Oreochromis niloticus: one gene and its partners. The main gene of each other region encodes a partner of the protein of the gene in region 4 in a complex. Links are inferred from orthologs where the notes say so. Each region holds a gene or a part of one and is shown on either strand. Other genes may lie near its edges. The genes, in order: taf1a, polr2k, rrn3 and ubtf.

What was found.
Region 1: ubtf (region 4) and taf1a share a complex: the UniProt entries of both Homo sapiens proteins name them as parts of the pol I pre-initiation complex. The link is inferred for Oreochromis niloticus from reciprocal best matches to the Homo sapiens genes UBTF and TAF1A.
Region 2: ubtf (region 4) and polr2k share a complex: the UniProt entries of both Homo sapiens proteins name them as parts of the pol I pre-initiation complex. The link is inferred for Oreochromis niloticus from reciprocal best matches to the Homo sapiens genes UBTF and POLR2K.
Region 3: ubtf (region 4) and rrn3 share a complex: the UniProt entries of both Homo sapiens proteins name them as parts of the pol I pre-initiation complex. The link is inferred for Oreochromis niloticus from reciprocal best matches to the Homo sapiens genes UBTF and RRN3.

What each region holds. Positions count from the first base shown.
Region 1 is NC_031980.2:14,112,305-14,120,279, reverse strand, and holds the start of taf1a (TATA box-binding protein-associated factor RNA polymerase I subunit A), read left to right. Parts: upstream 1-4,971; 5' UTR 4,972-5,195; exon of another isoform or gene 5,196-5,204; intron 5,205-7,975. Other genes in the region: mia3 (transport and Golgi organization protein 1 homolog), read right to left, coding at 192-277, 618-685, 793-828, 935-1,097, 1,294-1,432, 1,530-1,620, 1,718-1,782, 1,896-1,983 and 8 more. UniProt on the Homo sapiens protein: Component of the transcription factor SL1/TIF-IB complex, which is involved in the assembly of the PIC (pre-initiation complex) during RNA polymerase I-dependent transcription.
Region 2 is NC_031985.2:19,959,504-19,966,737, reverse strand, and holds polr2k (DNA-directed RNA polymerases I, II, and III subunit RPABC4), read left to right. Parts: upstream 1-4,699; 5' UTR 4,700-4,812; intron 4,813-5,012; 5' UTR 5,013-5,020; coding exon 5,021-5,081; intron 5,082-6,344; coding exon 6,345-6,437; intron 6,438-6,613; coding exon 6,614-6,636; 3' UTR 6,637-6,715; downstream 6,716-7,234. Other genes in the region: stk3 (serine/threonine-protein kinase 3), read right to left, coding at 113-250, 347-514, 658-822, 1,142-1,256, 1,693-1,821, 1,947-2,027, 4,335-4,357. UniProt on the Homo sapiens protein: DNA-dependent RNA polymerase catalyzes the transcription of DNA into RNA using the four ribonucleoside triphosphates as substrates.
Region 3 is NC_031969.2:6,416,662-6,423,800, reverse strand, and holds the start of rrn3 (RNA polymerase I-specific transcription initiation factor RRN3), read right to left. Parts: upstream 3,017-7,139; 5' UTR 2,793-3,016; coding exon 2,697-2,792; intron 2,454-2,696; coding exon 2,397-2,453; intron 2,324-2,396; coding exon 2,234-2,323; intron 189-2,233; coding exon 59-188; intron 1-58. UniProt on the Homo sapiens protein: Required for efficient transcription initiation by RNA polymerase I (Pol I). Required for the formation of the competent pre-initiation complex (PIC).
Region 4 is NC_031969.2:28,404,050-28,411,529, reverse strand, and holds the start of ubtf (nucleolar transcription factor 1), read left to right. Parts: upstream 1-4,473; 5' UTR 4,474-4,846; intron 4,847-6,612; 5' UTR 6,613-6,634; coding exon 6,635-6,671; intron 6,672-7,023; coding exon 7,024-7,196; intron 7,197-7,290; coding exon 7,291-7,374; intron 7,375-7,474; coding exon 7,475-7,480. Other genes in the region: slc4a1a (solute carrier family 4 member 1a (Diego blood group)), read left to right, coding at 278-444, 544-785, 866-1,035, 1,474-1,647, 1,739-1,783. UniProt on the Homo sapiens protein: Recognizes the ribosomal RNA gene promoter and activates transcription mediated by RNA polymerase I (Pol I) through cooperative interactions with the transcription factor SL1/TIF-IB complex.

The DNA of each region.
Region 1 (7,975 bases), on a different chromosome or scaffold from region 4:
AATAAAGAGGTCCTGCAAGAAAAATCAAGCACATGAACAGGACAAATACACAATCACAACACATATGAGGCAAAACTGGAGGCAAAACTGGAGTCCCCCACCAAACAGAAAACAGTATCATCTTCAGTGGTTCTTCAGGATGACAGCTGAGCTGATGGAAATAAAATAGAGGGTGAGATGTGCCTGCTTACCTTGGCGAGGGCCTGCAGGCTGACCAGAGTTTGGTCTGAAGAGAGGAGCGCGGCGCTCATTGAGCTGAGAGGTGAGTACAGCCAATCTGTGAATAGGAAGAAAAACAGCTCAGATGCAGTTAAACTGGGCTGTGACTAACGGTAATTTTAATTATCTGATGAAAATGTAACAGAGCAAGTGGTGACGTCATTAAATAATTTCACAGTTTGTCCAAAAGAAACAAAACAATCAATAGCCTCCAAGCTATTCAGCCTGAAGTCACATTAAGCAGTAATAGGAACAGCTATGATGTGCGGTAACCACTGTTTAGTGGTTTTTTCAGGCTTTCGCAACTTCCTGTATAGAAACAGCCTCATTATGAGTAACAAACAACATTTCTGATATTCCACAACAACAAGGAAGCTTTAACAACTGCCAAAACTCACTTTTCACGAAGCTTCGATGATTCGAGCTTCTCTTGGTTTAGAGCTCGCTCTGCATTACGAGCATTCACCTGCAGGCAGCGCAAAGAAGCAGAGTAACGCTTTAGCTCAATATTAATCTTACACAGACTGAATAAATTATTTATAGAAACTGTAAATAAACGGTGTAGAAACATACCCAGTTTGAGTGAGTTTTGTTCTCCTGCTCTTTGATCTAAAGAAAGAAAATCACATTCAGCCGAGATTCAGATTGGAGTAATGTTTTTATTTTGTTGGCTAATTTGTAAACGTTAAGATAAAAAAACAAACACACAGTCTACCTGCTCTTTGTAGACTTCCTCAGTCTTCTTCATCTGGTCCTCCATCTCATTAATGCGCTGCCTTAAGATTTTAACCTGCTCCTCAGCTTCAACAGCTTTCCCTCCAACCTCCGACAGCAGATTCTCTTTGCTGCGCCGCTCCAGCTCCTCCTTCGTTAATTTCCTGTGTGCGCACAGAAACATAGTGACTCCCAGTCCTCCCACAAATCATGACTGATGAGAGGTTTCACTTACTCATCATCATCATCATTCATGGTGTAAAGACAGCAAGTAAAATTTACAACTACAAAAATACAGACGACTTTCAGACATTCAGGACAGGAAGTAACAATTTCTAATCTGCTGAAGACTTCACTTACTGCTGCAGAGCATTTTCCTTCTGCTGATACATTTCGACCATGATTTCGTTTTTCTGCTGGAGGATCTTGAACTGGTTTTCAATGTGGCTCTTCTCACTTTTCAGAGTTGAGATTGCATGTTCAAGCTCCTGGTGTTGCTCTGTTTTAAAATAAAACAAAAAGGAGTTTAGTGGGATGCAGATACCCATTTTCAACTGAATTACACAACTTCTTAATTAATCTAATTCAAAATGTACCTTCCATTGCCTTCCTGGACTTTTCTTCATTCAGTAGTTTTGTCATGAAGCGATCCCGCTCTTCTTCAACTACAGCAAGAGTGGTCTGAACCTGTAGAGAAAAATACAAGAAAATGCACTAACATTTTGAAACCGAACAATCCTCTATAAACTAAATATAAGCTTTACAACATCTGTTGATATCTCACCCTAGAAACATCCATCATCTGTTTGATTCTGTTCTTTATGGTCGTCTTCTTGTCTGTAAGAGACACTGAAAGAACAACAAAACACTATATTATTAAACAGTGGTTAATGAAACAACTTGTCGTATTTCATCCACACATTTACGATATCCCTTAATATTTTGATAAACTACAAACTTACCAGGTGCTACTTCACCATTGGCCAAAACTTTGGTGTCACCTTTTTGTAAATCACAAGCTTCCAGGTCAGACAGAAGTTCAGACAGCACCTGAAGTAGACATATTGTGCAAGAGTGAGACGATTTAATACAGATTTAATAAATAAATAAATAATAACAAATAAATAAATAATAACAAAAATCAGGAAGAGCTATGACAGTAGTTAGTGAAAAAAATGACCTCCACATTGTGATCTTTGAGCACCACAGAGTCCTCCAGTTCTTTCTGGGACTTCTGATAGACTTTAATCTTCTCATTAAGCTCTGTGTGTTTTTCCTCCCAGCTTTTAATGGTGGCCTTCAGCTGTTAGAAAAGACAGGGCATAAATTAAATCTGATGAAATATTCAGATTTATGACAAGAGAAAAAGAGAAATAAAAGAAGAGAAATATCCATATCTGTCTTACTGTTTTGTTCTCGCCCTTTAAGGCAGCAAACTCTTTCTCAAGACATTTTTGTTGAACGTTTCGGGCATCTTCGCGAATCTTGGCTTCATCCAGGAGAACAGTAGTCTATGGATGAAAGAAAACAGTTTATAAGATAAATTAAAGCTAAAAGGTCAAAGTAACACTACAGAGTTTGCAAAAAAAAAAAACAAATCCCAAAAGGATTTGTACCTTAGAGAGCGCTTCCTGCATTTTTTTCCTGTTAGCTTGTAGCTTCTCGTTTAACTTCTCTAATTTCTCAATCTGTTAAAATAAAAATAATAATAATGATAATAATTGCAGCATGAATCAGCGAAAAGAATGCAAATAACAACGAGCAGAAAGCAAAATTAAACACTTACTCTTGTTTCATTTTGGAGAGTGTTTGCCCGCTCTTCCTCCAGTAGCTGTGCGTATTTGTCCTTTTCCTCTGCCATCTGTTTATTCAATGTTTCAGCCTGTAAGACTTTACTCTGCAAACAGTAACGAAAAAAAATTAACGACAACCCTTCACCAAATAACTGAGTGTCAACAAAGATTTAACCCAGTTACGTAAGACTAAATACATATGAGAAAGACTCTTACTGCTTACCTCTAGCTCTTGCATCTTTTTCACTGCACAACTAACAGTTTCCTTTGACTGTTTTTGATTTTCTTTCAGTTGTTCAGTCTTTTACAAAAAGAAGAAAACATGAATCAGATGTGTTTTGTTTGTTTTTGTCCAGGAGAAACTCAGCAACATTTCTCTTTATGGGGCTCACCTGTTTCTGGAGTTCAGCCATTTTGGCAAGAGCTTCATCCTTTTCCTTTTTGTGCACCTGGATTTGCTCTCTGAGTGTTTTTTCATCCACTTTTCCAATAACACAAAGCACACAATCAATGAGGCCGTACACATATACATTTTGTCATGTTGTGCAAAAATTATAACTGAAAACTTACCGAGGTACTCTTTCTTCTTTATCTTTAAAAAATGAAAATTAAAAAAATCAATTTTGAATCTTACAGTGTATAATATCATCCAACAATGACCTAAACAGAAAAGATTTTATACTGTATATAACTCAATCCAATGGGAGTATAACCCAGGGGGATACAAAGCCTTATTAAATCAAAGCTCATACAAATAATATTGGCATTTTACTGGCGCCAAATAAACAGAGCAGCAATATCACAACACTTACTGCCAGCACAGTCCTCCAGAAGAAAAGGGTGAAGGTCACTACTCCAACCAAAGCAGTGATGACAACAGTTTGCCAAGGACAGCCAAACAAAGTTTCTCCTGGCTTCCACTCTTCAGGCAGCAATGAAATCATCTGAAGAGACAAAAAAACCCACAACCACAGCTTTAACTCCGGAGAATGAAATTAAACTGGAAACAGATGGTTAAAATAGCACTATGCAATTAAATTATATCGATTTCTAGTTACAAACACAGCTTTCAACAGTGGTGAAAAGAAGATTGAAAATTATTTTCATAGTGATGCTCTTATTTTGTCTTGTGTTATAACTTGATTGCACTTTTCCGTATCTCTAAAAATTCAAACAGCCTGCGGTAGATTTACTTCAGCTCTAGCCAAGATGATTATAAGAGATGTTTGTCAACAAGGAAGGAAGAGCTGAACAGTTAATCACAGAAAAAAACAATAGTGTCATGCTCTCCTATACAATCATTTTCTCATTTTGCCTATCGCAACATCACCTTTTCCTCTCAGTAAAAGCCTAAGTTCAGGCTATGGCATGAATACTTTGGTTTACAAAAATGTTTTTTTATTTAGCTCAAATACACTTAATTAAAAAGAGACAACAGAGTTACCATGTTTCAAAATGTATCAAAAATAATTATGACTATAATTCTGGCTGTAAAATAAATAAACAAAAAAGCCCAATGGAAAAAGAAACAATACAATATACAATAAAAACACTGCAGAAGCTCTGATTAAACATCAAATTAAATCTACCATTAGACTAAGACACTGTGCATACATTTACCAAACTATGACACTTCACTAAAGAGTCATCTGTAACTCAAATAAGCACTCATTACAACCAAGATTAGCAAGAGTAACAAGAAGAGCATCTCTGTCCCACAACGAATCTTAAGGCTGAAAGGCTACTGCAGCAGCAGAGGTGCCACTCTTGTAAGCTAGAACAGGAAATTAAGGATATGACTGACATGGGCTGACCAGGATTGGACAACAGAACACTGGAAAACATTGCCAAGCCCCCAAGTATTTATCTAATAAAGTGTCCGGTGAGTGTATGTGATAAAGGACACAGGATTGATATAAAAAAAACACAAAAAGATTCGTCTACACTCTCAGTTTAGTCACCAAAATAATTCTGTTGGTTATTTATTAACATAAAAAAATAACATGTTTTCTACATTGTTCTATACATACATTTTGAAGTGATGTATGAAGCATTTAATACATTACTTGATTAGGGAGCAATTCATACTATAAGCTTTTCTCTTTCACAAGCTAGGTGGGTTTCACTTTATAGTTAAACTAGCTTCATTTATGCCCAGTCATACCAAACCGAGCGTATTAGTCCAATCACAAAGAAACCTTTGAACTCCCCATGAGGCAACAGTAGCAAACATATACACGCTCTCACTCCGTGGCTCTAATAAAATACAGGGATTACAGCTGCCTTAATACTAATGGCAAATATTAAAAGCCTCTCTTCAATTTACTACTTTTCAATTCTAAATGTTCAATACAAATTTAACAAAGGCTGGGCTGTAAGAACAGTTAGATAGCAACGAAAAGGGCACAGGACAGTGAAAGGTCTTCAATCAAATATACAAGACCCGGTCGACTGCTGCTAATGCTAAAGGCAAGTTTGGTGAGTAGATTTAGGACCAGGAACCGTCCAAGTCATTATCCATCAGCCACCTGCTAATTAACACGTCATGGTTAAGGCCATGACAGCGTAAATAATAATATTCATATGTGTGTCCGTCTGGCTTTTTTTTTTTTTTTTTAATACTGTAATGAATACTTACATGTTGCAGTCCCTTCACAAAAACCACATATGTGTGCTCCGGTTCCATGACAGGCAGGGATAATGTCTCCCTCTCCATTCTCGTGTTTAAAAACAAGAACGGAACTAGCCAGATGCTAGTTTGACAGGTATCAGCTAGCTGCCTAGCACGTTAGCTATCCACAAAGTAACTGTATTGTTAGGCAAAGGCTCGGTATCCAGGAGCGTTAATGTCTCCCGCGTACGAAAGACAAATAAGCGGTCGTTAGACAAATGGACAACGTAAAATAGTAGAGATAGGAGTTGGTAACAACGACTTGCTAACGGTAATTACAGATCACCCGTCAAATCCCATTCACAGCTGTTATCGTGAAGCAACGGTCGTTAGCAGAGTTGGTGGTTCTGATTATGGATAACGACTGTAGCGACCAAAAAAGGCTACACTAACTCAACAACACATTATCTGCCTGTACATGCCACAATAAGGCCGTTAGCCACAGCAGCCAGCTCAGCACCGGCTGTGTTGAACTTCAGCCTATACCGCGACAGTCAACAAGGCAGGGGGAGGGCCGGAGGGGGCATTCAGGGAAAACTGGAAATTTGAGTTCTCACATAATGCACCACACTTCCAGAGCAAGACCGACGTCTGTTACATGTAGGGCGACCAGGTGTACCCACACGATTTTAATCCTCTGTCCCACATTTTGGCTGGCTCAACAAAAGTCTCTAAAGTCATGCAAGTCTCCCGAGTCTCCAGCTCCTCAAAAACTATATATGGGGAAAAGAGTTTATTCATGCAGAAAAATGTGGGGTAGTGGAATGCAACATTGCAATTTCTGGTATCTATTCAAAATTATATACAGTATAAAGTATACTATTATATAAAGTATATACAGACCCAGCTTTGCCTGTGTAAACACTTTTAAGAGCCGCATGTAATGATTTATGAGGTGAATGCATCATCAATATCTGATGCTTAATCTGAATCCGTTTTTATGACAACTAAATTATGTGATTTTTGCATTAATTGGTTAACAAATCACAAGCACCTTTGACTATTTTTTCCCACGTTTTTTCTTTTTTTTGAAGCGCTGGAATTTAAATGTGCCCTCTGGGCAACCACTTTATGTCAACCCCTGTTATTTTAAATGTGCTTAATAAATAAAAATGACTTGATAGTGAACCAAAAAGGGTTCTTATACTATACTTAAATTACTTAAATATTTTCATGTTCAGGATATATATTTTTTCAGTTCCAGTAAAATTTAACACTGAAGTAAGTGTTAAATTGAGTGACATGAGAACAAATTATGGCAGAACAGGAAGAAGGAAGTTGAGCGAAGTGTGGACAGGGCTGTGGGGATGTTTGAACAGACATGCTTACTGTTTGATGTAACTGAAGCGACATACTGATCTCAGACGAGATAAACTAAAGGATCAATCCTATCACACAAGTATTGATCAGATAATAGTACCAACGCTGGTATCTATATAATCAATATTTAGATCGATCCATCCCCTCCTATTTTCAGAGCAGCAAGACAAGTGTCTGCCCCAAATATTGCGACAATGCCCTACATTTTGACTGGCTCTACAAAAGTCCTCGCCAGTGATTCTCATATAGGGCAATCACAGGCCAATAAAACACATGTGAGGCAAAGATTTTGCTGGTGTAGTACAATGTGGGGTAAAGTACTAAAGCCTATTAATACATCTTTTCAGTTATACAAATGATGCATACTAACTTGACTGTGTTTTACTTGAAAGTAATTTGTCCACAAAACAGTGGATCATCTGCCTCCATTTCACCCTATTCCTTGCATTCTCCTCTGTCACACCAACCCTCTGATATCCTGCTGAGCATCTTGGTCACTTCCAATAAAATCTGAGCATCTTTAACTTTGTCATCTCCAGCTGAGGCTCCTATCTTTTTATTAGTGATGAGCATAAATGGAAACTAAAGTTTATAATTGGTCCTATGGAACAGTTTTCTGTACACGCTTCTAACAGCTGTCATTCCAGCCTTTCTGTCTGCTAATCATCTTTGGGTTTTAGCAGGGATGCATCCAAGTTCTTTTTGAGTTGTTTTGTTCTGACACAAATCCATTTTTGTAAATTAGAGTCATTTAAAATGTGGGACACTGTCTCGATATAAAAATGCTGTACAGTCTCACACTCCTGATGACACTAGACTCACAAGAAACATTTGGGTTTAAAAATTGATGGGCTGAACTATGAATGCTTCCCTGCTGAAAGTACTTTCATGCTTTCAGCTGTTCGCTTATTTCCCAAGAGGTTGCCACACAGGAGGGAACCACATGTTGATTTGTTACAGATACTACACCGGATGCCCTTCCCACTAGCTTGTGACCCCTGAGGCTGGCTTTGTGTCTCCTCCCAGTCTTGAACCAGTGATCTTATGAACCATTTGCTCTATGAATGCCTCCCTACTAAAACCCCAAAATTATTACCACAGAGATAAGAGGTGGAAATTTTAACAGTTACAGTGATGCAAACAGGAAATGCAAGACTGCACAAAGACTGCCACATAGGACCATAAACAAACTTCAATTTCTCTTTATGTCTATTCTATAGACATCGAGTTTAACTAAATTACAGTAAATCAAAGTTTA
Region 2 (7,234 bases), on a different chromosome or scaffold from region 4:
ATCAGTTATTTGAACAGGGAAGGACACCAAGTTGCTCTTAGTTTCCTTCCCTGTTCAAATAACATAATAATAGTAGTAATCCATGTATGTGGTGGTGAGGTCATCTTCTTACCTGTAGTAGCTGTGTGGCCGTCGCTCTCTGCTCCGGGTTCTTCACTAAACACTTCTTGACAAAGTCTGTAAACTCGTCTGACCAGAGCTCCGGCTTCCTGAATGTTGGAGGAGGGTTGGTCGGGATCATAAAGATTGCCTGCAGGAACACGATAACAGGATTAGGGTGGATTAAAAAAAGAGGAAAAATGTTTTTCACAACACATTTAAAACAAGAAGAAATGTTTCTACTCACTCTCATTGGATGGATGTCTGCATAAGGAGGTTTACCCTCTGCCATCTCTATGGATGTGATGCCCAAGGACCAGATGTCAGCTACACAGTTGTAGCCGATCTCCTGAATTACCTCGGGTGCCATCCAGAACGGAGTACCGATCACAGTGTTTCTCTTCGCCATGGTGTCCTACAGAGTGGGAATATATATTACCCCAGACTTTTAGAGCATGACAGGACCAAGCGAGAACTCCTCAGAAGCAAATTACAAACAGTATCATGCTGGCAGACATTACTTCATCTTATCACTACTGACATATGCCGCAATTTTACCGTCAGCTGTCCAGCAACCCCAAAGTCTGCCAGTTTGGCGTGTCCCTCTGTGTTCAGAAGGATGTTTCCTGCTTTGATGTCCCGATGGATCTTCCTCATGAAGTGAAGATACTCGAGTCCCTTCAGCGTCGACTTAAGGATGGTTGCGATCTCATCTTCTGTCAGCTGAGAGATTGAAGAGTAAAAAACAAACATGAAAAAACAGAGCATTAACTGCTGCACTTGTCTGTAGTTTTTTTTTTATAATCATTAGTTTGCTGAGTTCAGTTAAAGACAAGTTCAACCTGGAGATCTTTTCACTTTTAAGTCGCAATAAATACTGCACTTTGAATTGAAACTTTATCAAAAATATTTTTCTTCCTGACACAAAAACTAGTGAATTAAAGCCGCCATTGCAGTCATTACTGACAACAGGTCAAAGGCACTTTTAAATTAAGTTTTAGCACAGTTACACACGTCGCTGCGGCTCAGCGTAGACACCCACCGTCTTGTTGCGCAGTCTGATGATGTCAGAGACAGAGCCAGCGCCGCAGTACTCCATCACAATCCACAGGTCTGTGTTCTTGAAGTAGCTGCCATAGTATTTCACCACATAGGGGCTGGGGAGGAAATGCAACATGGAGTGGTTATCAAAGGAGAAGATACAGAGCAGAAGTGAGAAAAAAAATCTCATGGATCCAGACACGAGAGAGCTACATAGGCTATGATGATGATGTCATACTTCCTCCATTATTATCTCTGTAAAATGTCTTTTGAGGGTTTTCCTGGCTCAGAATGGACCTTTGAGAGGAAGCTAAGTGCAACTGGTCTGCGTACAGTTAACACTAAGAGGCTCTTATCTAATTAAACAGAACAACTGTGCACTTCCCTGTTATTTGGGGCAGCTGATAAACAAAAAATGTATTCTGAGCCTGCAAATAAACAATGATTTTCTCTCAAAACTGTTTACTGGACGCCACATTTTTCATATTGAGGAAAAACTCTGCTTTTAAGGGGAAAACTGGCGGTATGGTTAAAGACATACTGCTGTCCCACCTGTCACACTGCTGCATGATGGAGATCTCCTTGATGATTTCCTGCAGATCGGACTCCACAGGCACCTGCTTGATGGCCACCACCTGGCCGGACTCCTTATGAATGGCTTTAAACACGCTGCCATAGGAACTAGAAACACACACAAAGCTTAAAGTCACATGTACGGCCGCAGTGCTTTATTACAACTGACAGCACTTAAAAAGAGATTCATTACGCAATGGTCAGCTGTAAAAATGGAAGTTAAGACTTCTTACCCTTCACCGAGTTTCTCGAGAACATCAAACACTTCCTCTGGCTGTTTCGTCAAACTATCTTCACTCAGCTTTTTCAGCTTACTGTAAAAAGTGAATAAGACAGGAATATAAAAGTGAAAGCAATGATAAGTGGAAAAGGCAAATCTAAACATTACAAAACAGGAGACACGGCATTGTTTCAGCATTTGTAAATAAATGAACGGCTGTGGGTGATTTTTAGTCTGGACATAAATGTCAAACACACTGGGACTGCAACTTGTTATAATTTCCGTTTGTTGTAATTTAAAGATATTTTTAGGTTTGTGCATCGGTGCTTTCAAACACCACAATATGAGGTAATACTTCTTCACAGATAAAAATCAGCACCGCAGCCAAACAACAGGAATAAGTCATTATTTTACTCAGAGCAGGAATGTCATTTTAGCCAGTTAAGTTCAATGTGATCGACAAAAAATGTTATTGTGAAAGTGAAAGCACAACCCAACATGCACTGTTCACTATTTTCTGACTTGATCAAAAATATTATCACGTGCAATACAAGACTAAAGGAGGTCGTTTCTCCCTGAGCAACACTTAGTGACGCAAGCTTCAATAAGGTTCCTCAGTCTGGCTCTAGTGAATAAATCAAACACAATGAATCAAAAGATTCAATCATTTAAAAATGATCCTACATGAGCTCTGACAAAGACACAAACAGATTGTGTGTTTTTTTCCCCATTATAAGGGTATTTCAATACTACCTCTTAGAAAAGCTTGTGCTATATGAAGCTGGAAAGGCCCTCACATCCTGCTGTTCCTGTTAATTTCCACTAAGCAGAACAGAAACGTTTAAGTATTGTGTCCTCAAAGTCTTTCAGAGAAGCCTTTCACTGACTGTGAGAAGAGCTGAAAATATTGCTGTTTTTCCTTGAATCCAAAATAAAAAACTTATTCAGTCTGAATTTCACATAGTGTTTTATAATTATATGTTTTTGGTAATTTACTTCAATATCTATTATTATATTTATGATGATGATGATGATTATTATTATCATCATCACTTATTTTGTTCAAATATTTATTTTTGGAGACTCATTCTTTAATTTCATTGTATATTTATTAATGTTATAGTAAACTTTTAAGCAATTTTTACTCTATATTTATTTTGTCTTTATATTACGCAATTTTATTTTTGTCAATGATTTCCAAAGCAGTTCTAATTTCTTTTGATTTTGTTATTATTCATTTTTTAAAATATTTTACTATTCTAAAAATCTTTCCTACCAAATTCTGTCAACCTAAATGTTTAATAATATTACTTTATTATTATTATTATTTCATCATCCTTTATAGTGTTGTAATAAAAGGGGTGCTCATATATGGAATAAATAAATATTTCTCATCTCAAGATGAACATGTGTGATCTCATAGTTTAAAAATAGTACAGCAATCATACAAAGACTTCAGATCTGTCGCCTTGTGGTTAAAAAGCTCTTCGGTAAAATTAACTTGCGTTGTCTTTTTTTTGAGCCTGTGAACTCGTGAACCACCACAGCACAGAAACCAACTAAGTAATCAGTAACGTGTAATACTGGTTTGTCTTCAGGAGTTGTGCCAAAAAATACCGTGTCCGGTATTTAAACAGTTCTAAATGAATGCCTATGACCTATCAAACATACCTCTCTCTTATGAATGATTTCAAGTCACTTTGAGCAAGCAGTAGAAGCTGCATTTAGTTTTTGGCAAAGTGACTTTTATATATCTTTTATTTATTTGGATAAAAAGTGTTATTGACATTCAAAACGTCTTTTTTCCAATAGAGATTGCGCAAACAGGCAAGCCAAAACATGGAGGACCTTTAACTTTTACAAGGACATTTTAAGTGGCTAAGAAAGTCAATAACAATAACGCAGACCCATAAAGAGAGATCACGTCTTTATTATATATATATACACATATATATAAAAACCCCTTCATAAATCCTAATAACTAAAGCCTGTTTACAAATACTTTCAACAATATTAGACATAAAAAGATACACAGAAACAATGCAATTCATTTTTTGGAGGACACTCGGGAAACTAGAGGCTGATTCAGTTAACATGCGACTGAATGATATTTAAAGTGCAAATCAAACCACTGAACAAAACACTCTTACAGAAACTTGGGAACACAAAACGACCACATCATTAGCCAAATCTATTAGAAACTCAATTGAGGGCTCAAGAAAGAGCGTCTCTGTGTGAGGAACGATCTGTACATCCGTGAACAGAACTGAAAGTTTGAGAGAAGACTGTCAACGCTAAGTTAGCTTAGCATCAGCGAGCTCGGCGACATCCACCGCCTACGTTAGCTGTTCGGCTAGCTCGATAATAATAGCATTTTTAGCGCAGTTAAAATAACACAAACCTTTTGGGCGCAGACGTCTCCATGATGTACGACTTCAAAACTAAAAAGAAAACAGACTAATAGGGACTCGTGGCACTTTTGGGACCAGCAGTCAGGGCGAGAACATTGTCGACTGAGTCGTTGTTGTCAAAAACTAAAGCAGCGCCAGCTGAGGGCTCGTCGGATGACGGTGTTACGGCCTCACCGCAGCGCCCCCTGCTGGAGCGGAGTACAAACAAAACGGCTAAAAAATACTCTCCTTAGAAACAGCGAATAATTTGTATCTATTAAACAACTGAGACTTGTGAATAAAATGTTACTGATAATAGAGCTGTCCACAAAATACAACTATGCTTTCCTGGTCTCATTCAAAGACATCGTCCGACCAATCACAAGCGACTTTGCTGTGAGGTGAACGACTGTTCTACGCATGTGCAGGCAGGAGCCTTGTGGAGTATGAAAAGAGAGGTAAACAGCTAGCAGCTATCGTGTTTAAACGGTGAGAAACCTTGTTGTTGTCTTTCCATCCTGTGTACTTCATATCTGTTAGGTTTATGCAGCGTTTTTAGATACTTTAAAGATATTTGTTGTTTGCTCTAAATACCATATGGGTTGTTTTAGTCTGTTTCGGGCAATACCATGCTGTTTCTGTTAGCATGTTGTTAACAGTTATATCTCTGTCTCTATTTTTTTGTTAAGAATCAGAAATGGATACGCAGAAAGATCTACAGCCGCCCAAGCAGCAGCCTATGATCTACATATGTGGAGGTATATTACAACTTTTACTTTAATAATACACCCGCGGGTAATGCAAACAGTACGATCTTACCTGCTCTAATGCAAACCTTTCATCACTGCCATCACGGCTGCTTCTCCTCTGGATGTTTTTTTTTTTTACATTACACCGCAGAGACCTTAAATATTGTTCATATTGTGTTCCGTCGTAGTAACAATTCTCTCATAATAAGTTAACAAATAATAAACTACAGCTAAATTTAGATTCTAAAACTAGCCTGTCCGACATTAATAAATTAAGGATTAATCCGTAATTAATGCTTCAGAGATAACTGAGAGTGTATTTTTTCAGGTATTACAGCACTAGTTTTTAGAGAAAACCATCTATCACACTATATCATGTCCTGTTTTGCCTAACACATGAAAATGTACATTATAGAAAATTCGCATAACTACCGTCTATAATTATAAATATGAGTTCAGTATTAGTACTAAATAACACTTGGAGCACAAGGTCTGCCTATTGTAAACCGGTCTGTGCATTCAAAGCTGTGATACCTGGCATGTGTGGGATTTCCATTCACTGAAATTACATCTCAGGTGCCTTTATAGCCTCATGACCCCTACCCCTTTTCTAATCTCTGTTTTAATCATAGTTAGCTTGGAATAAGATAATTTTATTGTTCTGTATGTATGTATGATTTTTTTTTTTTTTTTTTTTTTACCTTGTGGGTATTTGTGCTTCCAGGTGCAAAACACAAGTACTAACTGAGAGTTACATGATGTTCTTGTGTTTGAATAGTGTTTTTACTACTTAATCCACCTTGGTGGAGACCTCTGGATGACATAACATACACATTAGGCTCACTAAATGTTTACAGTGGGAAATGTTAAACCTCCTTCACAGTCTGATACATTGTTACTATTTTGGAACCAATAACACATATTTCACCATGATTACGTAATGTTGGTCATCTTGCATCTGGAAAAGGAACCACCCTGATTTTAGTACTAACAAGTTTTGTGGCAAGTGTAAAAACTCAGTAACAATCTGAATGAACTGAAATGAATACACCTTACACATTATGGACTAAAATATTGGGCCACACCTCTTTGAATTCAGAGGCGTGCGCTAAGTGAAAAAAAGTTACCAACACTCTGCTGACTCAGTAGCTGCAGAGGTCCAAACCTTCTCTGTCATTAACATCAGCAGAAAAACTATGTGCTGCCCGCTGCTCTGCTCTGCTCAAACTGCACTTGAACACATAACACCATGATTTCTCTCATCACTTGCAGAATGTCACACCGAGAACGAAATCAAAGCCCGCGATCCGATCAGATGCAGAGAGTGTGGCTACAGGATCATGTACAAGAAGAGAACAAAGAGATGTATCCTTTTGACATTGTGTGCATGAAGACAACTTGTGAAAACATTAAAAATGACCAACTGACAGTTAATTTCAGACATGAATCTTTATGCTAAAGAGTGTTCAGATATTTTGTTTTTGATTGATATTTTTTGGTTGCTACGTTTGCTGTGGATTTCCTTGACTCTCTGATTTCAGTGGTTGTATTCGATGCCCGATGAAGAAGAGGAGAGGAGCAGTTTTGACTCTGTTTACTGTTTGTAGTGTGGGATCATGTAAATAAATAGACCTGGCTTCAGATTTGTGAACTACTCATTTTATTCTCCGTCTAAACAATACATTTGCTTGTCAAAGATGTATGAAAGTTTGTTTTGGTTTATTAAAAAATAAGTATTTTAATTGGTCGTGACTGTTTTTCCAGTTTTTCTAACTGATGAGCCGATTTAATTGGTAGCATCTCCATGACGACAGGAAAATATGTGTTTCAGCTCTTGTAGACTTTTCTATATTCATGTAGTCACGTGTAATTGGTCTGTTGCTATGAGATGTTTGCAGCTTTTCGACCCCTGAAATGAAGTCTGCCTTTCAGAATAATAAAATGCAGCAGGGGGAAGTAACCTGATTTTGTGTAATGCAAACTGGTTTGGGGCCTTTTTCATAGTAATAAAGATTAAATGACACTTCGATGTTTTCTTCCCCTCACCCCCAAAGGTGATTTTAATGACTTTGACTGTGGGATAATTGTTGGTACCAGACTGGCTGATCTACGAGGATTTTCCCACAGCCATCTCCCAAAAAGAGAAAATATCCAGTGAGCGG
Region 3 (7,139 bases), about 22 Mb from region 4:
TACTACTGTAACACGTGTATGAATCATGATTACTTCAGTACCAGTCAGAGTAACATACTGGGGGTGAAGTGGGAGACCACCATGTTAAGGCAGGCACACAAGTAGACAGTCTGTGCCGACACCAGGTTACCCAGAAAGGCCAGGTACTCGTCCACCACAGCCTGGCTCCGGCCCAGCCAAGGAAGCCTCTATAAAACAAACACACACACACACACACACACACACACACACACACACACACAGTGTAATGTCTTCCAGCATATAAACACAATCAGCTTTTTGGACGTCTGCTGATTCACACCACATGAAGACACCTAAGGCCAAATAATCCACTGCTAGAGTTAGAAAGTACTTTATCTTCGACCGTATCAGTGGACTGAACGGTTTAAAATGTGTAACAAAATAACAGAATAGATGACACATTCTCAACAGTATATCATACTGACAAAAGTTTGTTTGTCCATGTTAAATCAACCACGGCTTTTCCCGTGAATTTTTTTTTTTTCATTTTATATTTGACTCTAATATTGGTCCTGATTCAAACTTGAACGCTGGTGTGGGGAATCAGTGATCAAGGGTTATTGTCTGGTTACTACAGGAGCAGAAGGCTAAACGGGTGTGGATTAAACTAAGAACAACGAGTCAGCGTTCTGGATGTGCGGTTCTCTCTGCAGGTCTGATCACAATAATACTTTCCCTGTCAACTGTAGAGGCGACTGTTGTTGCGATTTGGTGCAATATAAAGAAAATTGAATTTCATATTGGAATGAGGTCATTACAAATTTGGTGAAGGCATACATGTTCTATATCTTGTATATCTACCCTCTTTTTTCTTGGCTCAATTTAATTTCTTTGTTTTATTAATACATACTAGTTTAAGATGTTGCTTTAAAAAGCAAATGACCTCTCACCCACACTGAGGAACAGGGCTAGGTTATAAGTTATATTAGTTTTATAACAATATTTCAAAGAAATATGCGATAATATTCATGACAATATAATAAAAATATACTAATCAAGGTATTATCAGTGTAGCTTGCAATAGGCATTTATTTATTAGAGAAAACAAAATAAAAGGCATTTCCATCCTCTTTTTTTTTGAATGAGTCTATAATGACAGACTGCCTCATTCAAAGTTTGAATTTACTGCCACAAGAGGCCAGCAACAGCATTACAGTATGTTATTTACAGTCAATGCAAGTCAATCAAATACAAGAACAAAACCTGCCTAGGTCCTGTTTTTAGGCTATAATAGTGCTGTGAAAAAGTATTTGCCAAATTCCTGATGACTTTTTTTTTTTTTAACATTTACATGTTTAAGATCAAACAAATTCATTTTTTCTCTCAGTTGTGGGGTAGTTTGGGTGGGTTGCGAGGCAGCAGGTCCTACACAGGCCAGTTTGTCTTGCACTCGCTTTTTTTGTCTGTTGCTGATGGAGTGGATGGCTGGTGTGACGGCTCAGTGTGCAGATGGGCCCCAGACCCGAGGACTACAGTTCATCCTGTGTTTGATTCTATATGTTTTTCTGTCAGGTGACATTTGTTCTGTAACTGTGGTGATTAGTGTGAGCAGTAAGTTAACTTGGGGTTTGCCCTGCGCACTCACATGAGAGGGGTGGTGTTGGCAGTATCTAACTAAACTATAATGGGCATTTCACATGTCATGTGAAAATCCCACAATAAAGAGAAAATTCATGACAGCTCCAACAGAAACATTATCAAATAAATTTAAAAATCTATAGAACATAAAAATATACTGGTAAAATGCAACATGTGATCAGTGCTGCAGAAACTGGTTAATCTGGTCATTTAGTGCACTGCCTGCACTCAGTGCTGCTGTTTAGGTCTAAAGTAACAGCTGCATATTAAAAGCTCTGAAACTTTAAAATGGATCCTTTTAAAAATTAAAGCTTATGCCTCTTTTCCACTCGTACCTACTCTGCTCGGTTTTGGTGATTTTACAATATAACTGAGTACCACCTCAATGTTCGTGGGGTCGTTATAGCAACACCCAAAAGTCCCATGAGCTCATTTAAACGCTACACAACAATGGCGGACACCGAGGCAACGGTACATCTGCTGCTAAGCCGTCTGCTTGCCATGCTGACAGGCTAATCAGCAGCATGCAGTTTGTTGATGTGATGTTTGTTTTAGATCGACTCAGATCACTTGGACCCCCGGTGGAGTAAATATAGTACTCTTCTCCTTGCATCATGTTAATATTTACACTCACCAGTATAGTATAAATGAGCTGTTCATGATCCTTGGTCAGGTGGGTCACACAAGTCCGAAATTCTTGCAGCCAGTTGATGATCTGAGCATCCTGTCGGAGGAGAGGGCGTTCACTGAGAAGCAAAGTCCACCACACCACAGGGTGCCCTCACACTAATGCTTACCTTTATCTCAGGATCAACCAGCTGATGTTTCAGGAGTTCATAATCACTCGAGTCTCCCTTAAAAAACAAGGAGAAACAGCTCACCAAAAAAGCAGTTCACCAAAAGCGTAGGAAACATAGAGGTGTTTGTAAACAACTTTACGAAGGTCAGCAGAATCCACAGACAGGCCAGCAGGTGGGTCTAGATTCATTTAATAACTTAGTGGACCATCTCGTAGATGTGTCACCAGAATCAACAACCCTAAATAAATATCTCTCTTTATCATTTTCCAAGAATGACAACCCTAAGATATAACTCACGTGTTTGTGTTTCTCTAACGTCTCCGCAACACTACCTCCAAATCTGACCGTCTTCACAGAAGGGGTCTTCAGAAAGTCTCGACCGTCTATTTCCATAACCCACCGGGCAGCTAACGCTGGTCTTTGCTTGTTAAGCTGAAAGACAGAGCTGGAAAGGAGACTCGCTCGTTACATCTCTCACACCGTACAGCTCTCGATACTGTGGCGTTAACTAGTTTGATCAAAGGAAACACGCTTCCGGAAAACAAACTCCAGGACGTCCCGTCCAAAACCACGCGAAAGTAACAGGAAGAGAACTGCGTGTTTACGGAAGTGATTGTTCGGAGCAGGAGTGTCACATTAAAGGAGAACGTTCAAGGAATCCATTTCGCTCAGGAAGGTTCCTACCTGAGTGAAGTAACTTTATTGAGCTTATGTACAAACAAACACAGGCTGTGAGTCAAGGCTCACACCGTAACAATAACACAGGCTGAACAAATACAACAAACGAACAAACAAAAAGAATAAATGTAGCTTTTATAAAGCAACAAAAAAGGAAAGAAAAGCAGAGTAAACAGATTAAGATAAGATAAGATAGCCTTTATTAGTCCCACACGTGGGAAATTTGTTTTGTCACAGCAGGAAGTGGACAGTGCAAAAGTTATGAAGCAAAAATTAGAATACAATAAGAATAAATACAGTACACAACTGTACTGTACAGAATAGAATAAAATCAAAGTTGGATCAAAGATAACACATTTTTAACTCACTATCACAGAGCATGCAGCCATTTACATCAATTTTTATCAACTCAGCCTGATGAAATTATTATCATTGGATAAATTTCATGTATCCAACTAATTATATGCACCACTGACAAAGAAGCACATATCATGTAAATGATCATTATAATACTTCCGTTATACTTAGGTGTACTCTGTTAGTTTACTTAGTTCATAGTTGATAGCCCGTATTATATTAGTATGAATCTTAAAGACCTCATACTACTCTATATTACCCCAATAGAGCACTCGCTCTCACACTGCAGGCTTACTTGTGATTCCGCTCCCAGTTTGGATTCGTCATACAACAGTATTTTTTCTAACACTTTAAACAATATCTTACTGTTCAAATAAGAATTTTTTTTTTTAAATAGAACTAGAACAAAAAATAAAATCATTAAAAGCTGCCTAATGATTGCTTTGCCTCACCACAAGAACACATTATTAACAACCCAAGAAAGCTAAAACTAGAATTACATTAAGTAATTACCAAGAAAACGCAATTTCTGATGCAAAGGCTGTGTTTGGCGTGCTTTAAACAAGGCAATAAATCTGGAAAATTCTTTGCAAAGTTAAAACTAAATAAAGAAATAAACAACTATTAATTCTATAAAGGATTTGACCAGAAGCATTACTTATGATCCTCAACAAATAAAGAAACCTTTGAAAGACTTTTATATAGCTTCATACTCATCACAGTGTCATCTCCAGTGACATCTGATGCTGTCAGATTTGGGACTCATCTGCAAGACCACCCTTTGTGGTGGGGGCAGTCTTATATATACCCCCCTCCCCCCCACACACTCCCTCATACAACACATCACTCACACACGTAGGATCTACGTGTGTGAGTCATTACAGTTCACTGTCCTCCCCTCAGCCTCAGGTCTTCAGCTGGAGAGGAAATGGCGTGTCACAAATTTAGAGGATCATCATTTAGCCTGGAGAAATAGTTTGCTGCTTTATAAGAAAGCCCTCCGCAAAGCCAGAACATCTTACTATTCGTCACTGATTGAAGAAAATAAGAACAACCCCAGGTTTCTCTTCAGCACTGTAGCCAGGCTGACAAACAGTCAGAGCTCTACTGAGCCAACCATCCCTTTAACGTTAACTAGTAATGACTTCATGAACTTCTTCACAAATAAAATTTTAATCATTAGAGAAAAAATTACCAATAATCATCCCACAGATGTAATATTATCTACAGCTACTCTTAGTACCATTGATGTTAAGTTAGACTCTTTTTCTCCAATTGATCTTTCTGAGTTAACTTCAATAATTACTTCCTCCAAACCATCAACGTGTCTTTTAGACCCCATTCCTACAAAACTGCTCAAAGAAGTCCTGCCATTAATTAATTCTTCAATCTTAAATATGATCAACCTATCTCTAATAATCAGCTATGTACCACAGGCCTTCAAGCTGGCAGTAGTTAAACCTCTCCTGACTCTCCATTTACATGAACAAATTGGAGTCTATTAGATAGATATGATACAAACCACTGCAGCACAGTACCTGTAGTACCTACAGCGTGCTCTAATCACTCTAATAGGATATTATGGTCAACAGTATCGAACGCTGCACTGAGGTCTAGCAGGACAAGCATAGAGATGAGTCCACTGTTGAAGCTTGAAGGCCTGTGGTACATAGCCAATTATTAGAGATTGAAGCATAAATGCAGACACCATTTTATTTAGACAGAGATGGTTGTAAGTAACCCAGAACAGTTGGAACACCTGTAGGAATTAGTAGCACCAGCTTTCAAGACTTGAACCGCCGTTGCTGCAGAACAGCTTTAAATCGTTAACTCATTTTGTGTTCCCTGAAAAAGGCCTTTTTGTATAATTTTTGGGTAACCATTCTTTTTTTAAAACCTCTGTCAGTTCACCACTTACCTTTGTACCATTTCAAGCTATCCATTGAACTTCAACGACTTAAATTGCAATAAATAACTGGAAAAACTGGGGTGTTCTAAAACTTTTAACTGGTAGTGTGTGTATATGAATATATGAATGTGACAGGTGAGACCTGAGACTGGGAACCGCCCTTTGTAGGTGGGGCTGGGTGGTTGATTGGTGGCAATATTCACTTTCTTTGGGTGCCAGCTCATGGAGGAATCAGTGGAAATGATTGGCGGCGGTTGAGCACGACTGTTCCATGAGTGGGTCAGCTGTGTGCAGCTGGGAAGACTATGTTGATTTAGACGAAGAAGAGGAAATGCCTCTGGAGCAAATGCAAAGTGAGCAGAGGAGGGGAAAGCGTAAAAGAGGTGGGAGCAGTAGTGGTAGGGATGATTCTTTAGAAGCTAGAGAGAAAATGTTTGCTGTTCTGAGATTTACCGAAAGAACACAAGTCAATATTAAAAAACTGAGTCAGTTCGTGTTGACAGCTGAACTTAACAGTAAAGTGGGAGATCTAGTTTCTGCTAAGGTACTGTCAGATGGAAATCTTCTTGTGCAATGTGTAAATGAAGAGCAGTTCAACAAGGCTTTGAACTTAAAGCAGTTGGGGAAGTTTAAAGTGGAAAATGTTGGGCATGTGGGTGCACAGACAGGAGGTGGATGCAAGGGGGTAATTTCTGGGGTCCCCATTAGTGTGAAAATGGATGATCTGAAAAGAAAAAATCAAAGGAGGAAATGTGATTTCTGTGGGCAGGTTGAAAGCAACAAAAGAAGGAATTAAGGTAGATAGTGAAAGTATCCTGAGACACTTTGAAGAAGGAAATCTGCCAAGGAAAGTGTTTTTGGGTTTCATCAGTTATCCAGAATGAGCCTACGTTCCAAAACCTCTGAGGTGCTTTAACTGTCAAAGGTTTGGACACCTAGCGAAAAACTGTAAGGAAAAGAGGAGATGTGCTCTGTGTGGTGGAGATCACGAATATGGGAAATGTGGAGATGGAGTTCAACCAAAGTGTTGTAGTTGTGGTGGGAGTCACAGTGTTGCGTATGCTGGATGTGAGAGAATGAAACAAGAAAATCATATTCAAAAAGTGAGGGTGGAGAAGAAGATCTCCTATGCTGAAGCAGTGAGGGTGATGAGAGTGAGTGAACAGGTCAACGTCAACCCAGGACAGGGTACATCTCGGGGTCAAGGAGTTCCCCAGATCAACACGAATGGTATGGTTATTGATAAGATGGCGTTGGTTACATTCATTGCAGGAGTGATAAACACCACAGCTGATGTGAAATCTAAGCAGGAGAAAATTCAGCTTATTGTTAAGCCAGGGCGATTAAACACTTGGGTTTAGTAGGACTGACATGGGAAGAAGTGAGGGACAACCTCAATTATCAGTCAAGTCAGGAAGCATGATATTATTTTATGTACTCATGGTACTTATCCTTTAATGGAATGCAAGGAGTCTGTTGGCCAATGGCCAAGAGTTGAAGCATTTCATCAAACTACTTAATGTTAAACCGGATGTTATTTCTGTCCAGGAATCTTGGCTTAAATCTTCTTTGGATTTTGTGTTGTATGGGTACAAGATAATACGAAATGACAGCGACCGTGGTGGAGGGGGAGGATGTGCAACATTTGTCAAACAAGACATTCCATACAGACTCCTGGGTAAAGGCCATGATTTGGAGTATATTGCTATTCAGGTTTGGGACAGGAATAAACCAAATGTTATTGTGAATTTCTACAATCCTTGCGCCAGATTGGAGCTGCCGCGTCTTCGTTCAAT
Region 4 (7,480 bases):
CCCTAAATTAGATGGAAATGTGCCTTTCTTGAGATCAGTTAGAGCTGTGTCTACATTCAAAGACACCTCAAAACCCTTTCTAATCTCACATGTTTAGCATTCTTAAACTTATCTTTTTTAAACTAACCCATAGAGAGAAAGCAAGATAACTTGCCCCCTCTACGTCTGTCCCATTAGCACGCAATCCAACCAGTTCTCAAAATGTATGATGTAAGGCCAAATAATCTACCTTTAACTATGTCTTTCTAATCAGCATTATCACTCTGTCTTCTCATAGAAACTGGTTGTGCCAAAAGGTATTGAAGTGACTAACCCCGATGCGAGGGGATGGTTTATCAACCCCATGGGAGAAAAGAAACCTTTCCCCGGCTGGATGATAGGTGCCAGCTGTATACCTGCAGTGCTTGTCTTCATCCTCATCTTCCTTGAGTCCCAAATTACTACGTCAGTGACACTTTAAACGATAACAGTATCAGTTTGTGTGAATTTAACTACTTAAATATTTAAGAAATCTCTGTTTTCAATGTTCTCTGTGAATCCCAGGCTGATTGTGAGCAAACCGGAAAGGAAAATGGTAAAAGGGTCGGGTTTCCACTGGGACCTTCTCGTCCTGGTCACCATGGGCGGAATCGCGTCTATCTTTGGAGTCCCTTGGCTGAGTGCTGCCACTGTGCGATCTGTCACCCACGCCAATGCTCTCACTGTCATGTCCAAGGGCCCCAAACCAGAGATTGAGAAAGTGATTGAGCAGAGGGTCAGCGGCATGATTGTGGCCATCATGATTGGTAGGTGCTGCCATCTACAGCAATGATGCAGGCACAGCAGAGTCAGAGTAAATAACCATTTTGCTCATGCCAATTTTCAGGAGTTTCTATTTACATGGAGCCTATTCTGAAGATGATTCCAATGACTGCCTTGTTTGGCATCTTCCTCTATATGGGTATCACTTCTCTAAATGGAATCCAGATGTGGGACAGGATCCTTCTGCTCATTACTCCCAAGAAATACCATCCCCCTGATGCCTATGCCACCAGGGTATCTATTCAGCACAATACAGTTTATTTTACACTTATCAGCTAATCACAGTTAATTTGTATGCAGTACACCTTCATGTTTCGAAGCTAACTCACTGTGTTAGACAGTTTTCCTCAGAGCACAAAAAATATTTAGTATTGTTTACAATTTTTAATCTATTTGCTATTTTTTCCATGTCTTTGTAGCTTTGTGCCTCACATTTGTGTCTTCTGTTGTATATCTTTGTGATCATTTTTTTTTTACCTTGCTTTCATTTTTACTCACTTTCCCAGACCTGCTAACAGTACTTTCAAAAACAGCCAATGGTTCACAGCTCCTTGCATTAGATTATGTATTCCATCCTGCTTTTTCTTATATATCCAAGTCTAGTGGTGTAATAATTACCATATAAATTGTTAATTAGTGCATTTCTCACTCTTATTTTTGTCATTTGTACAGGTGAGTACCCTGCGAATGCATCTGTTCACTCTGATCCAGCTCGTGTGCCTGGGTGTACTTTGGGCAGTGAAGATGAGCACCTTCTCTCTGGCTCTGCCTTTTGTTCTCATTCTGACCGTTCCTCTGCGCATGTTCATGACTGGCAGGCTCTTCTCTGCCATGGAAATGAAATGTGTAAGTGCTTACCTATATTTTTCAAATTTACCTCTTCGTGTCATTTCATATGTAAATTTCCTTGTTGTAACCTGATCTGCATGTGTTGCAGCTGGACGCTGATGACGCCAAGGTGACATTTGAGGAGGATGAGTAGGATGGATCTATACTGCCATAAACATCACCATACCGTTCATATTCACATTTTATTTAGTGATGCCACTTCTTTGTATATTTAAACTGTTCCATTACTATTTGTCTTTAAAGGGCATTACCTGACATTTATTAATATATGACTTCTGCATCTAAATTTGGGTTTGCAACCACAACAGACAACCAAAATGTATTGAATTTCATCATCGAGACCTATCAGGTATTACTAATTAATATTTTGAGATTTTAGGATTTCAAAAATGTTTTTTAAGGTATAAGTGGCTGTTTATGTACTTAGATACAGAGTGGCATTTTCTCTCAGGGAAAAATGAATGAATGGATTTTGAAAATAAGAGATATTTTCCCCTTGTGATGTTAGATAGATCCATTTATATATAATAGTTTTATTTTCTTTTAGTGCTCAATTACAGCATGGCTTTAATATTACAACAATGCAGTTAAATTTTAGTTCTGCCCATGTTACAATAATTTAATTTCATCTTACTTTAAGCTAAGGAAATCTGATGTCAGCTCTTCAGATGCGCACAAAATAATGAATTTTGTGAGACTATAATGTGCCTTTTGTCCATAGTTTATCAGATTATTCAGAAAAGTGTGAAGTTGTTTCTGAAGTTTTCCCATTTACTTTGTGTATTGTTTATGCAACAGTTTAGACTTTTTTTGTTCAGTTGGCCTATATAGAATATAAATGCACTGCTTGTGTGTAAGTGTTTGTGATTTTAAATGAGGTGTGCAGTGCAGGTAGATAGTTGATGCTGAGATCTTATTGTTTGAATTGATTGTTATACTGATGACATAATCAGGTAAAACTCTGTATACATTTTCCTTGTGCATTTTATGTTGCCCATCACATTTGTGTGCAAAACACTGTACATGCTTTGGATTTAATTTTATTAAAAAATAAAGACAACCTTAAAACGCATGTTTTCATGAACGCATTAAGTAACACAATATGTCACATCACATGTCAACATTTTGTCATTATTTTTACCCTGCAAGAAAGAGGAGAGGGCGTGAAGAGCATGTCTGCCAGTCAGCTTCATGCTGCCTTCAATGATGTCAGGAAACTTCAAAGTCCTGCTGCTCTGGAAGACAAGGGGGGCCTATTCTTACTTATTCTTAGCCTACACTATGATAATAACACAGGGGGAATCATTAAACAGAATACTGTTTTCTTTCTCAGACTAGTAAAACATGTTTAGCTGAATGACATGTCACATAATACATAGATACACAACATACAAAACCGTGAAGTTGTAAAATACACCCTTTGTTATGTATTTTTTATTTCATGATGTCACTTTTTAATAATGTTTCTAATATTCAATCAAGACAAACATAGTTGGACCGGCTGATTTTCCTATCCCTTAAATAGCGCAACTGCTTTGAGGCAAACTGAACTGCGACACAAATAGTTAAAGTTCTTTGGGGAAAATGATCACGGCAGGAAAGGGGTAAATTGCTTGTTCCGAGTCTTTAATTTTAAAAACAGACATTGCACGCTGCTAAGTCCCCTGCCTCTTTACAATGAGTTTTGTTTGTTTGTTTTCTATAGGTAATGTGACATTTCGTGAAGTTAAGATAAGCTCTATATGACTTATTCGTTCAAGCATGTCTTCATTTGTCTCTACTCGTTTCGCATGCAAAGATACCCGTTTTTCCTACACCATGGGAACGCAACACGGTTTAACAAGGCCGAGGGCCTGAAAGTCATTTGTTTTCCCTGAATCGGACTGCTTGGATTGGATGGCCGGGGGTTCCGCCCACAAACACACAAGGTGGAGTTGAAAAGCAAAACATGCTGGACCAAAATGAAGCTGTCAAACAGCCGCTTACAATATACAAAAAAGAGGTTAGGAGCAGCGAGAAACAGCGCGGTTTTTGTGTTATAGACCATTTTATTATTTATATTTTAAGTGGAAATCTGGCGTTTTTAAGTAAAATTTGTAAAGTTTCGGTTTTAAGTTGATATTAAAAAAAAATCTGATGGAAGAGCGTGAGGTGATTGAGTTGTATAAATTTTACAATCACCTGTAAAATGTTGGTTTTCATTGCACTCTCGGTCACCCGATAAAGTATTCGGTGGGTTCAAACTTCGGCTGCAGATGTGACGGGGTCGGCCTGCGGGAGTAAAAATAATCGCCCTCGGTTGTATTCAAACTGAGAGATCGGAAAAAATGTGGAGGTCTCGGGGTAGCGAAATGGTTGGATGGAGAGAGAAGAGCTGCTGCGCGCTGAGTGGAGGGAGACGGCGAGTGAGATGGAGGCGGGGGGGAAGGACCATCTCTGCGGGGACTGGAGCCCAGGACCGACGGCGCAGTGCTGGCTATCGTTCAACCCTCCCCTTCTTCCTCCACAGCGACACCGAGGCTCACGCTGAGAGACAGGTAAGCCAACACAACAGCCGATCGGTTTCAATATACAATGCGCGTACGTGATAAACAAACCGCGAAAAAGCCATCAAAACGCGATAAATATACATTTAATGCATGTTTTTGTTTTCTCGTAAAGCGCCTCGGTCGGCAGCTTCTTTGTAGTAGCGAAATAAACCGACGGTGGTAGGGTACAGACGAGGGCGGCCATACCCGAATTTCTTGTCCCAAACAGCGGGGAAGGAACTGGATGTAAGACCCTGGGGTAAACGTGATAAATTTCTTTTCAAAATAACACGAAAAAAGACTCTTTTGAGCTAACCCCTTCATCGAAACTCGCCTGCTTCTGCTGTACGGGGAGTATTTGCGTAGGAGAATAAACGGTGGTTTCCGCGCCGAGACCTCCATGCGGCTGTTGACGGAACAGCCAGCCGCCTCTCTCGGTTAGCCATCAGGGATCTCAGTTTAATATCTCACCGTGCAGAGACTCGCCCTCTCTCTCCCCCTCTCTCTCACTGGCTAGCCCAGAACCTCCGACGACCGAGCTCGGAGAACCCGCCTTCTTGCCCTCGCTTAAACGGTTTTGGATCGAGGGAAGGGAGTCTGCGACGCCCTGGCTTTAGTTTTAAGCTCCGTTTCTCTGTGTTTGCAGTGCGCCATTGGACCTTGTCACGGTAGGTTTCCTTGTAGAGCAGAGCTGAAGCATGGCGGACCTGGAGCTGTTTGTCGCGCCAGAGAAGCTACTCAGCCGCGGTTTGTTAACATGTTTCCTCGGAGCTTTAGCTAACCATTTTAGATGCCGTTTAATGCTACAATACTGCAACCGGAACTGTAAGCAACGGTTAAAGCTGATTTCTGGTTTTACAACAACAAAAAAATTTAGTTCGATGCTATAACATTTGGCCGTTAAAAAACATTTTCCATTTTCTTCTTTCTTCCTGCGCCTCCGCAAGTCTTTCCAGCCAGCCACCACGATATTTACGGGCATTTTTACAATTTGTTACTAATCCCTGTCCGCTGTCCACCATTTGAATTAGCTGTTTTTTATTAAACGCAGCTAAATAAAAACCGTTACGTGATTTAAATGATTGGTTGTAAACAACAGCTAATGTTAATGTGGTCCAGGTCTACTCTGCAGGACACGAAATTGTTCTTAGATGCCAAAAAGCCTAAAGCCTTGTATTAAATAACCTTTTAAAAGGCATAGCTAATAATATTTAAAAGAAAATGTCCCAATTTTAGCCGCATTCGGTGTGTCAAATCGTCCTTGCTCGTGTAATGCCTCAACACTCCAATTTATATCACCCATATTGTCATAATAATGAAATTTAAGGTACATTTTGTGTTTCAAGAGTTTCTTATATACAATGTGGCGGTTATTTAGTTACATAAATGGTGAAATCGATCGTTTAAATGTAGCTAGGTCACACGGTGGACACCACATTGAGCTGGGGCCATCAAGGACAAGATGAACAACGAGCAGCCGCCATCATTGGAACACAGTTCGGTTACGCCTCGCTGAAGAATGCTCTGGATTTTGCTAGCAAATCCCACTCTGAAACGCCTGAAACGTGAATAAAAACGGCCTGCAGATAACCTTTAAACACATTTATTTACTGTAAACGAGTGTTATTTTTGATTTCATCGCTCCGGTCTCAGTTAACACTACGAGGAGAAGATTATAGGTTTTGCGTGGCGGAGCTAGATCAGCGCCCAACGGTGATGAGGCGCCTCTGTCGAGTGGCGCATTTGGCTGCAGTGCTTCCAAGCTACCATTCCCCTTTCTCGGAGACCGAAAGCAGATCCCTCGTCCGTGGTCAGCTGGTCGCCTACAGCTGCCCGTCCGTCCACGTCCATTCGCTTCCTCCTTCCGTGGATCCTCCCCAACCTCAGCTCCGACAGAAAATCCTCCATTACTGAGCGGACCAGGCGAGAAAATGGTCGCTCCTGTGTGTCCACGATACTTTTGTTGTGGAATAAGGACAGTACTAATACGCCAAATTCCGGTTGGCAAAATTTGCTCGACGGAGACTCCTGTTGTCGTAGCTAGATGTGCTAGTTGAAGCCCTCCGCAGTGTTATTTGAGATTTGAAGCCGTCACAAGCAATAGCCTATGTCTCACCATGTAGCGTAAACGTTTAAGGGGCGGTGTAATGAACATAAACCATTATGTCGAGCCAAATTTAAATTTAACGACTTTGACTCGTTTATTACTTTTATATGAAGAATTAGCCACTTTAATTGGTAATTAAGCCCTTTTATACAAATAAGACAAAATAACATTAATTACTATTTTTAAAGATCTCGAGCCTTACTGGTTAAAGGTAATAAACACGAATATGTATATTATAAACTGCTGATTGGTTCTTGATTGAAGTCGATATATAAAAGATATGCTTTTAAATAATCTTATGGGGGTGTTTTTTGTTTTTTTTCGCAGATCCAAGACAGAATATCCGCAAATGAATGGAGAAATGGAGGCAACGACACAAGACCAAGGTGGGTTTTTTGCAAAAGTTTTTCTGAACAGAGTTGATATGTAGATTAATCATGGCAAAGCAGCACTTTACATAACCTTGTATATTAAGACCTTAGTATTAAACTTGATTAATGTACTAGTTCTTGTAAGAATTACAGCAATTAAAACTGTTTGATTCAAATTAGATTAGAATATATGATTTACCAACTTAAAGCCAATAAACGAATAGAATAGTAATTTTATTGTTATTTTTTTCTTGGCAGAATACACAAAAGGATGTATGATTTGAAAGATATTTTGGGTGGATCTGTTTTTTTCCTTTGTGATTTTTATGTGTCTTTTTTCTCTCTCTCTCTTTTAACATTTTCACAGTATGGGCGCAGGATGACCTTTTAAGACTGCTGGAGGCCATGAAAGTGGCTCTTCCACAGAAAGACCTGACTAAATACAAAACATCAGAGTCCCACCTGGACTGGCAGAAAGTTGCTTTCAATTCCTACACAGCTGAGATGTGCAAGCAGAAATGGCAGGAGGTCTCGAAAGAGGTGAGTTGATTTGTATCGATTTTTCTCCAAGTCAGATTTTTCTGTTAAGTCAAGTCTCCTGAGTTTCTCTGTTTTGTTTTTCTGCCAAACCCAGATTCGTAAATTCAGGACCCTGACAGAATTGATAGTTGATGCTCAAGACTACATAAAGAACCCATACAAGGGCAAAAAAATAAAGGTGAGTTCAAGTCAACATTCACATAATTTACGGCCAACAGTTGTGCTAATGGATTTCCAGGCTTAAGTAATTCCGCCCCCTTTCCCTCCCACAAATACAGAAACAC